Linked DNA regions of Oryctolagus cuniculus. The protein of the gene in region 2 interacts with the protein of the main gene of each other region in a pairwise test. Links are inferred from orthologs where the notes say so. Each region holds a gene or a part of one and is shown on either strand. Other genes may lie near its edges. The genes, in order: DLK1, GRN and KRTAP26-1.

Region 1 (3,747 bases), on a different chromosome or scaffold from region 2:
GAGGATGAAGTGCACTCCCTGCCGCCACCGCTCCAGGTTCCAAATAGCAAAGATGTGCCCCCCCCCCGCCCTGAACCGTGGGGAAGAGGAGGCGAGAACTGGGCGGGCACATTCTCTGCACCTGGGACCTGTGTTCAGACTAAGCTCTGCAAGTCAAGCACCCTTGGACCCATCCCCAAGTCCCGACCTGCCCGGAGGTTAAACACCCGCAGCCCCCTCCCAGCCCCTCTCCCTCCCTAGCTTCCGGGGCCTCCCCGATCCAGACTGGGGTGGGGGAGGCTCCAGCGGGGCTCTGAGCAGAGGCTGGGGGCTGCAGCAGGGTGCTGGGGGCCCGGTGGAGTCCAGGGCGCACTCCCTCTCCCCAGGGTCTCTGACAGGGGAGGCTCCCCGGTAACCAGGGCGTTGAAGCCTCCCAGGAGATCTGGCACATGCGCTGAGGACCGGGTGTGCAACCGTCTATGAGCTTGTGTGTGAAGTTGCTGCACGTGTCACCGTGAACAAAGACTGCTGTGAGCCCGGAGTGTGTGTGTGTGTGTGTGTGCGCGCGCGCACTTGTGTGAGACCAAGAGCCTGCGCCGTGCGGGCGAGCGGTGGACTGGGGGTGCGTGTGGGTGAGGATCAGGCGCGCCGCACACATGTGTGCCTGTGACTCAGGCCCCCGCGAGGCGGGCGTGTGTGGGTGGAGGTGACTGCATGTGTGCGCGGGTCTGTGGGATGACAGTGTGCTTGTAGGTGTGCGTATGACTGTGTGCGTGCCGCTGCGGGAGGCGGCCCAGGGTTCCGTAACTGCAAGCCGGTCGGTGTGCGTGCGTGTGTGCGTGTGCGTGTGTGTGTGTGCGTGCTGCAGTGTGTTTGGGTTGTAGTGTGCGTTTGTGTTACACATGTGTGTGCTACAGCAGGTGTGTCTGCATTTTCCGGCCTCCTCATGGCTCTGGCTGGCAGGGACCTGCGGCTTTTCCTAACCGTTTTTCTGAGCGCGTGTGTGATTATGTGTACATTGCACATCTTGGTGGTGCGCCTTTGCGTCTTCCTGGGTATGTGACCCGTGGCCCCTGTACTACACGGGGCCTAGGCGATGGGCATCTGGGCGCTTCTGCACTCCGAGGGCTTGCTCGTGTGCCCCTGGGGGTCTGCGGCCCGGCCCAGGGACTGTGCTGGCGACAGGTCCTAAACTGGCCAGTGCGTGTGTGCGGCACATGTGCGAAACGTGCGCGGGGTACCTGCGCCTGTCTAGCCAAGTGTGCGCCCGTGTGCGCGGTCGGTTTCCGGGACGCAGCAGTGGTGGGGGGCGGCCCCGCGAGGGGCGGGGGTCACCGGGACTGGCCGGCGCCGGCCCCGTGCACGCGAAGGCGGGGGCGGGGGGCGGGGGCCGGCGGGGGGGGGGGCGGTACGAAAAGGGCGACGCGCGCGGCGGCGGCGGCAGCTCCTCGGCGGCAGCGGCGGAGAGCGCAGCGCGCAGCCCGGTGCAGCCCTGGCTTTCCCCTCGCCTCGCGCCCGCGCCCCCTTCCGCGTCCGCAACCAGAAGCCCAGCGCGGCGCCCGGAGCCGGACCTGCGCCCGCACCTCTCCCGGGACCGCGACCCCGGCCGCCCCGCGATGACCGCGACCGAAGCCCTCCTGCGCGTCCTCTTGCTCCTGCTGGCTTTCGGCCACAGCACCTATGGTGAGCCCCTCGGCGGCCGGGCCTGCGCCCCCTCTGGGGAAGCCTGCGACGCCCCGCCGGCCACCCCGTGCCCCGCGCGCCACGCGCCACGCGCCCCAACTCCGGCCGCTCTCGCCTAACCCTAAGCCCCGCGCTGTGCCTGCCTCACCCTCCCTTCCGCCCTTGCGTGCCAGGTCCGCCCGTGGGTCCCCGGGGGGTGGGCAGCGAGCTTGGGACCCCCGCAGCCCCTTCCCTTCCCGCCTGGCAGAAGTGGCGCTTGAAGGGGTGTCGGTGCGCTGAGAGGAGGCATGGAAAAAACGCGGCGATGTGCGGTGATGTGCGGGAGTCTTCCGTGAGGACGCGCTGGGGGGCAACTTGGGGGTGTCCCTGCGTGTGCATCCCGGGGAACAGGTCTCTGGGGCAGCGGGGGTTGACTTTGCTGTCCTAGCCCCCCAAAGCCCAACAAGAGAGCAGCTCGAGCCTCCTGTGAGGCGCGTCTCTCTAGGTGAGGGGCTGCGACACTTCTGTCTGCAGTGGCCATCTGTCTCTGACAGCGAAGAGTGGCCCCCTTCCCGCAGCGCCCCCGCCCCCGCTGCGCGGGGGCCGTGGTGGGCCGTGGGGCCATGTGGAGAGCTGGTTGAGTGATGCATGCAGTAGGTGCCTATGCAGGCGTCAGAATCCCTTAGTGTTGGAATCTCAGCCGCCCTGGGTGTAACTGTTGAGTTGTTTTCTTAACACAAGGAGTCGTGGGGGGACTTCTGACCTGGGTGCTTGGCTTAACTGCGTAACCTTGTAAAACACGAAGCTCACACCCCTCACCTGTGGACTGCCCGGTGAACCTGCTAGGGCTTTCCCCGGTTCAGCACCTCCGGTCTGCCTCCCCGTTAGCATCAGCTCACTTTGCAAAGCGTGAGGGTTTGACTGAACATCCAGGGTCAAAATCTTCCCCTTGGTGGTCTCTGCCCCCCTATCCGCAGCGTATTGGGGTTCCTTGTTGTCTCTGGGGGAACAGGGGCCCTGTCCTGCACCCAAGGTCCCAGGAGCACACACAGCTTTGAAACAGCGTGTCAGGCTGGTGGGACCCATGGGGGGCTGCGAGCCAGCGGGGGTGGGGCTGGGGTGTGGGGAGTGGGCTTTTCCTGGGCCTCTGGGGCGAGATTGTGGGGTCAGTTGTGTGATGTTCCCTGTGCCTCAGGGGCTGAATGCTTCCCGGCCTGCGACCCCCAAAATGGATTCTGCGAGGATGACAATGTGTGCAGGTACAGAGCCGCTCCTGAGGCAGCTGGGGGCGGTGGGGGGAGCCACGGAATGGGGGTGGGGGAGGCACAGTCCTGGGAGTCAGGCTGGGGGGGGGGTGCTGCGGCAAACAGCTTCCCTGGCTCTGCAGAGCCCCAGTGGGGGAGACGGTGGGGGAGACGCAGGCAGGGGATGGGGGCAGCCACAGCTCCTGTCTCCCTTCTCAGAAAGGGGGGGTGTCAGGGGAGCGCCTTGCCAGCAAGACCACTGCGGGCCACTGCGACAAAACGCAGTGTCCCCCCCCCCGCCCCCGCTGTCCTGCTTCCTAGGACCCCCTGCGTCTGCCCCCAAGCTTGTTTTTTTTTTTCTTTTCTTTTTTTCTTCAGTTTTGACGTCCAGGTGACTGCTGATTGCGTCCCCTGACCCCTGGCCTGGGCCCTGTGCAGACTCCCAAGGGCTCTCGGTCCACTGAAGGCAGCCAGCTCCCTCCCCACCCAGACCCCCCTCACGGGTCTCCATCTTTCTTGCTCCGCACAGGTGCCAGCCTGGCTGGCAAGGCCCCCTGTGTGACCAGTGCGAGACCTCTCCTGGCTGCGTTAATGGACTCTGTGAAGATCCCTGGCAATGCATTTGCAAGGAGGGCTGGGACGGGAAACTCTGCGATATAGGTTGGCACTCCCCTCTGCCTGCGCCCAGCCCCCTCCCCGCGCCCCGCCTGCCAGCCCCCTAGCGCCTTGTACTGTGTGTCCTGTTCCTGCTCTGCTGGGGAGGGTCTTGGGTCTGCTCACCGCTCCCCACCCGCACGGCCAGCACCTAGACCCCAGAGAAGGCACTGGGCTAGGGGCCCACGGAGCTGCCTGTTGAATAAAG
Region 2 (3,719 bases):
GAGGACGAGCTGGGGGCGGAGGCGGGCGACGAGGCGGGCGACAAGAAGAGCCCGTGGCAGCGGCGGGAGGAGCGGCCGCTCATGGTGTTCAACGTCAAGTAGCGCCCGCGCCCGGGCTGCGCGCCCCGGGGGCCCGTGGGGGCCCGCGCTCGCAGCCCCCTCCCCGGGCCGGGGGCCGGCGGAGCTGTCCCGTGGTATGTGTCTTGGGAGAGGGAGCCTGGGTCGGCCTCCAGCCCCGCGCTGGGAGGTGCAGGGGAGGAGGGCTGGGGGGGTTGGGGGCTGTACATAGAGAGCTCTGTTGGGGGACAGCAGGCGGGGCGACCTGGCCTCAGCTGCTCGTGTGAGGGCTAGGAAGGGAGGGGGCGTTCTCTGCGGACCCCTGGGAGGGGAGGGTGCTGCTTGCCACCTCTGGGCCATGCCGTCCCGGGGCTGGTGCCGGGGCAGTTCTGGGGGGCTGGGGGCGAATGGGGATGGGGCCGTGGCAAGCAACAGCAAATACACAAGTGGTGAGGGAAACACGTGTGTGTGTTTCTGTGGGGGCGGGGGCGGGGGTGGGAGGCAGGGTGGCCAAATCAGACGCGGTGAAGAAAGTGTACAAACTTTATTGGAGCGCACACACATGTACACACACACACACACACACACCCCTGTGGAAAAGGGACAGCACCTGACCACAGGGTCCACAGAAATCGGGGGAGGGGATGGCAGCTTGTTTGGTGGCTTCTGCCCCAGCCCCCCTTCTGACAGGATCCCGGGTGGGGAGAGCTGGGTGGAGGAAGAGGCGCTGGGGAGGCCTGAGCAGTGGGCACCCTCCGGGCAGGACCCCGAGGGCTGCCAAGTGTTTCCGGTCCTCAGTCCCTCACAACAGCTGCTGGGGCGCCAGCTCTCTCGGTGGGGCGTCCCAGCGCAGGTTCCCCCAGCGCACACACTTGGTGCCCTTGGCCTTACAGTGGAAGCCGGCGGGACAGCAGTGCTGCCGGTCTGCACAGCAGGAGCCCTGGGCGGTCAGAGAGAGGGCGACAGGGTTAGACGGGGCGGGCCCTGGTGGGCACCCAAACCCAGCCCCAGGGGTGGGGGTGGCGCTGACCTGGGGGTAGGGACAGCAGGCCCAGCCGCCTTGGCGGTCCCGGCAGCACGTCTGGTTATCGTGGCAGAAGCGTCCTTGCCCACACGCCACGTCCCGCACACCCTCGCGCGGGCCGGGCAGCAGGAGTGCCGCCGCGGCATGGGCGGCCTCCACCTCCTTCTCGCAGGACCGGGCCTTCACGTTGCACGTGTAGCCGGCCGGGCAGCAGTGCTGGCGGTCCTCACAGCACACGGCCTGCGGCGACAGAACGGCATGACGTCCCTGTCCCCACGCGGGCCGCAGCCTCCCCAGCCTGGGGTGGGCAGGCGGGCACTCACATGGGGCAGCTGGCAGCAGGCCCAGCCCCCGCCGAGGCTCGGGCAGCAGGTCTGCCCCACCGGGCAGCTGGTGTGCTGGTCACAGCCGATGTCCCGGGGGTGGGACAGGGACGCCTGGCGGGCAGGCGTCTTCTGCAGCCCGGCCACCGTCTCGTTCTGCCGCCGACACCGCCCCTCGGCCGTGCACGTGTGGCCCTGCGGGCAGCAGTGCTGGTGGTCCTGACAGCAGACGGCCTGGGGGGCGGGCAGGAAAGGGTGGTCCAGGGAGCTACCACGGGGGACATGGTGGCCCCAGCCACCTCTCCTGCTCACAGCCCCTCCGGCTGGGGAGAGCTCAGCTGGGTGCTGCCGTGGCCTAGGCAGAGGGCAGGAAGAGGCAACACGAGCCTGGCCACCCACTGGCCCAGGCCAAGACACCATCCCCGCCCCCACAGCCACACTGTACCGCTGGGACAGGACAGCAGCCCCACTGAGCCTGGCCACCCACTGGCCCAGGCCAAGACACCGTCCCCGCCCCCAGGCCACACTGTACCGCTGGGACAGGACAGCAGCCCCACTGCCCCGACGCGAGCTGGCAGCAGGTGCTGAAGACGGGGCAGCTGGCGAGGTGATCACAGGGGACCCCGCTCCTCCAGGCTGGGGGCTCTGGCACGCTCACGGGGGCTGGGACCTTCTCCATCCACGGCACCTGGCGGGGCCCCAGCTCACAGGTGCCTTTCTCCGTGTGACACTTAAAGCCCTCTGGACAGCAGTGTATGTGGTCCTCACAGCACACAGCCTGGAGTGGACGGACAAGGGCCAGCAGTGACAGGGGCCTAGCTGAATGCCACCCTCCGGCTCGGCCCAGCCCGCCCACTGCTCCTCGGTACCTGCGTGAAGGGGCAGCAGCCCCAGGCCCCTGACGCTAGGCGGCAGCAGGTGTAGCCATCCGGGCAGCTCACCTCCTGGTCGCACTTGACATCCTGCACTGCGGGCACACAGGACAGGTCAGCAGTGGCCCTGGCGACCCTGCGGTGCCCGCCTTTGCCAGCTGCACAGACAGCGCCACCCCACAGTGATCCTGGGGCAGGGCCCAGTGTGGAGGGAAGGGGCTGCACCTGGCTGGCCCCTCCACGTGGCCACAGCACCCCACCCCAGGAACAGCTTGGGAGAGCCCCTGTTTGTGGGGCAGGGGACTGAGGTCTGGGGCCTGCCTGTTACCTGTGCGTGCCGGCAGCTTCGTGAGCAGCTCTGTAGCGTTCTCCTTGGAGAGGCATTTACTCTGGACCAGGTCGCACACGGTGTCCTGGGGACAGCAGTGCTGGTGATCGGAGCAGCAGATGGCCTGGGTGGGGACGAGGGTGTATCTTGGTGACTGCCAGCTTGTACGGAGCACAGGGAGCAGACAGGCTGAGGGCTGGCACTGTCTCCAGTCTCCACTAGGGGGCAGCATGAGTCCTGAGTCCCTCGGGCTCCCTGCAACCACGGAGGCCAGCCCCAGCCCTGGAGACCCCGGGCAAGTAGCCCGTGCAGCCAGCTGGCCGTGAGTACGCGGCCCCTCACTCACATTGGGCATTGGACAGCAGCCGTACTTCCCACTGGGCAGCTCACAGCAGGTAGAGTCGTCAGGGCACCGGGAGCGTCCGTCAGGGCACAGGACGGAGGTGGGCGAAGCCACTAACGGCACTGGAGGAGGAGCCAGGTGTGAGGGGGCCCAGACCGGGCGCTTTCTCCAGCAGGGCCTCCCATGGTGCCCCGCTGCTCCTCACCTAGGCTGTTGGTCCTCCGTGCAGGGGTCTTCTTGGCCAGCGGCTGGGTGCCTGTGGCCATGATGCAGCGGGTATGAGCCAGGTCACAGACGGCGCCATGGGGGCAGCAGTGTACCCTGTCCTCACAGCAAGATGCCTGAGAAGAGACGGTCCCGATGGGCCTCTGCTCCCACCCAGCCCCCTCCCGGCCCCCTCCCAGCCCCCTCCCAGACCTGTACCTCGGGCATAGGGCAGCAGCCCCAGGAGCCGTCCAACATGACGCAGCACGTGGAGGAGTCTGGGCATTGGAACTGGCTCCCGGGGCACTGGACAGCTCCCAGGGAGTTGTTAGCTGTGGACAGGTAACAAGCAAGCCCCTCAGCGAAGGGCCTTCCCCCGCCCCTCACGAGGACACGCAGGCCCAGTGATCTCCCAGGCTCCCCCATACACCCCTGCCCCCGAAGCCAGTCCCTGCCCCAGCAAGATGACATAGGGCAGGGCAGCCACAGACAGCAGGTCGGCATTCAAACAGTACGGCCCCCGCCCGCCCCGCCCCGCCCCGCCCCGCAGTGCCTGCAGCTGGGCCTG
Region 3 (2,420 bases), on a different chromosome or scaffold from region 2:
AAAGCATTTTAGAAACTCTCTTTTGGAAACTGACATCAGAACCAATGCAGGAGGCAAAACAAATCCACATGTGAGTCTGTGTATCTTACTTATTTTACCAAGAATGATAGCTTTCAGTTGTAGTATGAGTAATCACGAAACACATAAGTCTGGAATAATCATGTAAAATATCATGTTTTCCAGCTTTCTTTAAGGAGTTTTATGTGGATTTTTTGTTCATACTAGGATCCATAATTTTAATCGAGCCCAACCTCATTATCTATATTTAAGATCTTAAAACACAAACCAGACTTTCTGTTTGAGTTATTTATTAAAGTTAATAAAAAGAGCATTTATTTTTTGAACAAAGATACTTTGCTATGAAGTTAATCTGTACTGGGATTCTGAAATAAAGTGAGCACATTGAAATTTTGTATAGTTGTAGTAGTTTCAGCTTTTCCTGCCATTTAGATTATAGGAGTTTTCACCTCCCTTATAACACTCTTGGTTCCAAGTGACTTCATGTGAGTAATTTCCAAAGAGAACTGGATTTTCTTTCAGATAAAGAAAATTTGCCCCTGTTTAAAAAAATGATACAATTTTTAAAAACAATTCCAAGAGGGGGATTTTAAGAATTTGCCATGGTTATTGTAACTGGAATAAGTTCATAGCCTTCAAAAGTGTCTGTTTTGGTTGGATAATTTAAGAAGAAATCTTATTAAAATCTAGTCACGCAGGCTTCTCAATATATTTAATAAATGGAACGCATTGTAAGGAACATCCAATTTTATCGGAAGTAAGAGCGCTTCTTCCTGCACTCTAATGAAGAGTTCTGATGCAGTCTCATCCAACCAGGAGGAAGAGTCTGTTTACAAAACCCTCACCCTCTAGGGTATATAAAGGGCCAAGGCAAGTGGGGATCAGAATGAAACTTGCATTCAATTCTTTCCCTCAAACACAGCCTGCTCTCAAAACCCTCGCTATGTCTTGCCAGAACTACTCTCGCAACTGCAGCTCAGGCTCCCCCGGAAATTCCTGCCACATCCCTGCCTCCTCCTCCGTTGCCGGCTGCTCTACAAATGTGAGCTGTGGAGATGTCTTCTGCTTACCCAGCAGCTGTCAAGATCGTGCCTGGCTCACGGACAAAAGCCAAGAGACCTACATTGAACCAACCAGCTGCCAGCCAACCAACTGTGTGCCCAGCAACTGCGCAACCTCCTGGAGATCTTCCACTATTTACTATGTGCCCAGACCCAGCCTAGGAACCAGTTTTATTCCTGCTTCTTCCTGTGTCTCCAGCTCCTGCCTCCCAGTATCCTGTAAACCTCCGAGCTATGTGTCCAGCAGTTGCCGTCCGCAGAACACCCTGATCAATACTTGCCAACCTATAGGTAGCGTGCTCAGTGCCTACCGCCCTTTGACCTCTCTGTCCAGCAGCTGCCGACCCCAGAGCCTCCTCACTTATGGATGCCAACCCGTAGGTTACTTGGCCTGTGGTCCTCAAGCAGTTCATATCGTCTCCAGCAGCCCAAGACCTCTGCCGCCTCCATCCAGCGGCTGCCAACCTGTGACCCACGTGTATGGCACATGTCATCCATCTTGCTCTGTCCAGGGAGGCCAGTAGTGTGCTTGTTCCAGCAAATCATCATGCTGAAGACTCAGGATATAAATTCAAACTCCATGGACTTCTGGTTCTTTCTTAGTGGTGTCTGATTGCTGGTTGGGTGTTTCTACTATAGCTGATCTAATGTGATTTACTACTTTCACATTTTCATCTTTCCTTGATGTTAAAAAAATTGGTTTACAATGTGTCTCAATGTTGCCTGAGTGTGGGAAGCATGTATTTGTTCGCACTATAATAAACAAGATCATGTCAAAGCTAAGAATCTGGTTCATTGGTTTTCTTTCATTCCTTCATTCTGACACAGAAATGGTGAACCCAGACTCCTTATAAGATTTGTGAATAAGACAAAGTGCTGTGTAACAATGTGCTCTTACTGATAGTAGAGAGATGATTTGATGGTGTGATTTCTCAAGCTGTTTTTTAGACTTCTGATGCTATGTCCTTGAGAGATCCAGGAATCCTTGGTGGAATGTGTTTTGCAAAGGCAAGATGAGGAATTATATCTTTTAGCTCTCTCTTCCACTGAATATCCTTCCACTGGAATGTTTTTTCTCATTACAAACCTAACCATAAGCTTTTACTTAATCCTTAGATGACATTGTATGATCGATTCCCATAAGGTAAAAGCCCAAATCCCTTACCATGATACTGGATTCCTTCATTGTCTTCCTCCTATTATTTGATTGAATCCCCTTTTGCTGTGTATCAAAAATCCAATTCTGAATTACACATAGATCCCCAACATGATTTTGAAAATCATCCTTTTTGCATATGCCATCAACAAGATTAGGATCTCTATTTTATCTGCTTTGAAAAT

Evidence for each region.
Region 1: the proteins of GRN (region 2) and DLK1 interact in binary tests that used the Homo sapiens proteins (3 or more experiments, as listed by UniProt). The link is inferred for Oryctolagus cuniculus from reciprocal best matches to the Homo sapiens genes GRN and DLK1.
Region 3: the proteins of GRN (region 2) and KRTAP26-1 interact in binary tests that used the Homo sapiens proteins (3 or more experiments, as listed by UniProt). The two-hybrid records come from large-scale screens. The link is inferred for Oryctolagus cuniculus from reciprocal best matches to the Homo sapiens genes GRN and KRTAP26-1.

The regions. Positions count from the first base shown.
Region 1 is NC_091451.1:44,306,826-44,310,572, forward strand, and holds the start of DLK1 (protein delta homolog 1), read left to right. Parts: upstream 1-1,408; 5' UTR 1,409-1,595; coding exon 1,596-1,662; intron 1,663-2,836; coding exon 2,837-2,900; intron 2,901-3,414; coding exon 3,415-3,545; intron 3,546-3,747. UniProt on the Homo sapiens protein: May have a role in neuroendocrine differentiation.
Region 2 is NC_091448.1:18,939,142-18,942,860, forward strand, and holds the end of GRN (progranulin), read right to left. Parts: intron 3,484-3,719; coding exon 3,371-3,483; intron 3,289-3,370; coding exon 3,153-3,288; intron 3,070-3,152; coding exon 2,951-3,069; intron 2,729-2,950; coding exon 2,605-2,728; intron 2,372-2,604; coding exon 2,274-2,371; intron 2,183-2,273; coding exon 1,937-2,182; intron 1,639-1,936; coding exon 1,405-1,638; intron 1,322-1,404; coding exon 1,088-1,321; intron 998-1,087; coding exon 860-997; 3' UTR 587-859; downstream 1-586. Other genes in the region: protein FAM171A2, read left to right, coding at 1-102. UniProt on the Homo sapiens protein: Secreted protein that acts as a key regulator of lysosomal function and as a growth factor involved in inflammation, wound healing and cell proliferation. Regulates protein trafficking to lysosomes, and also the activity of lysosomal enzymes.
Region 3 is NC_091435.1:15,091,730-15,094,149, forward strand, and holds KRTAP26-1 (keratin-associated protein 26-1), read left to right. Parts: upstream 1-906; 5' UTR 907-961; coding exon 962-1,603; 3' UTR 1,604-1,865; downstream 1,866-2,420. UniProt on the Homo sapiens protein: In the hair cortex, hair keratin intermediate filaments are embedded in an interfilamentous matrix, consisting of hair keratin-associated proteins (KRTAP), which are essential for the formation of a rigid and resistant hair shaft through their extensive disulfide bond cross-linking with abundant cysteine residues of hair keratins.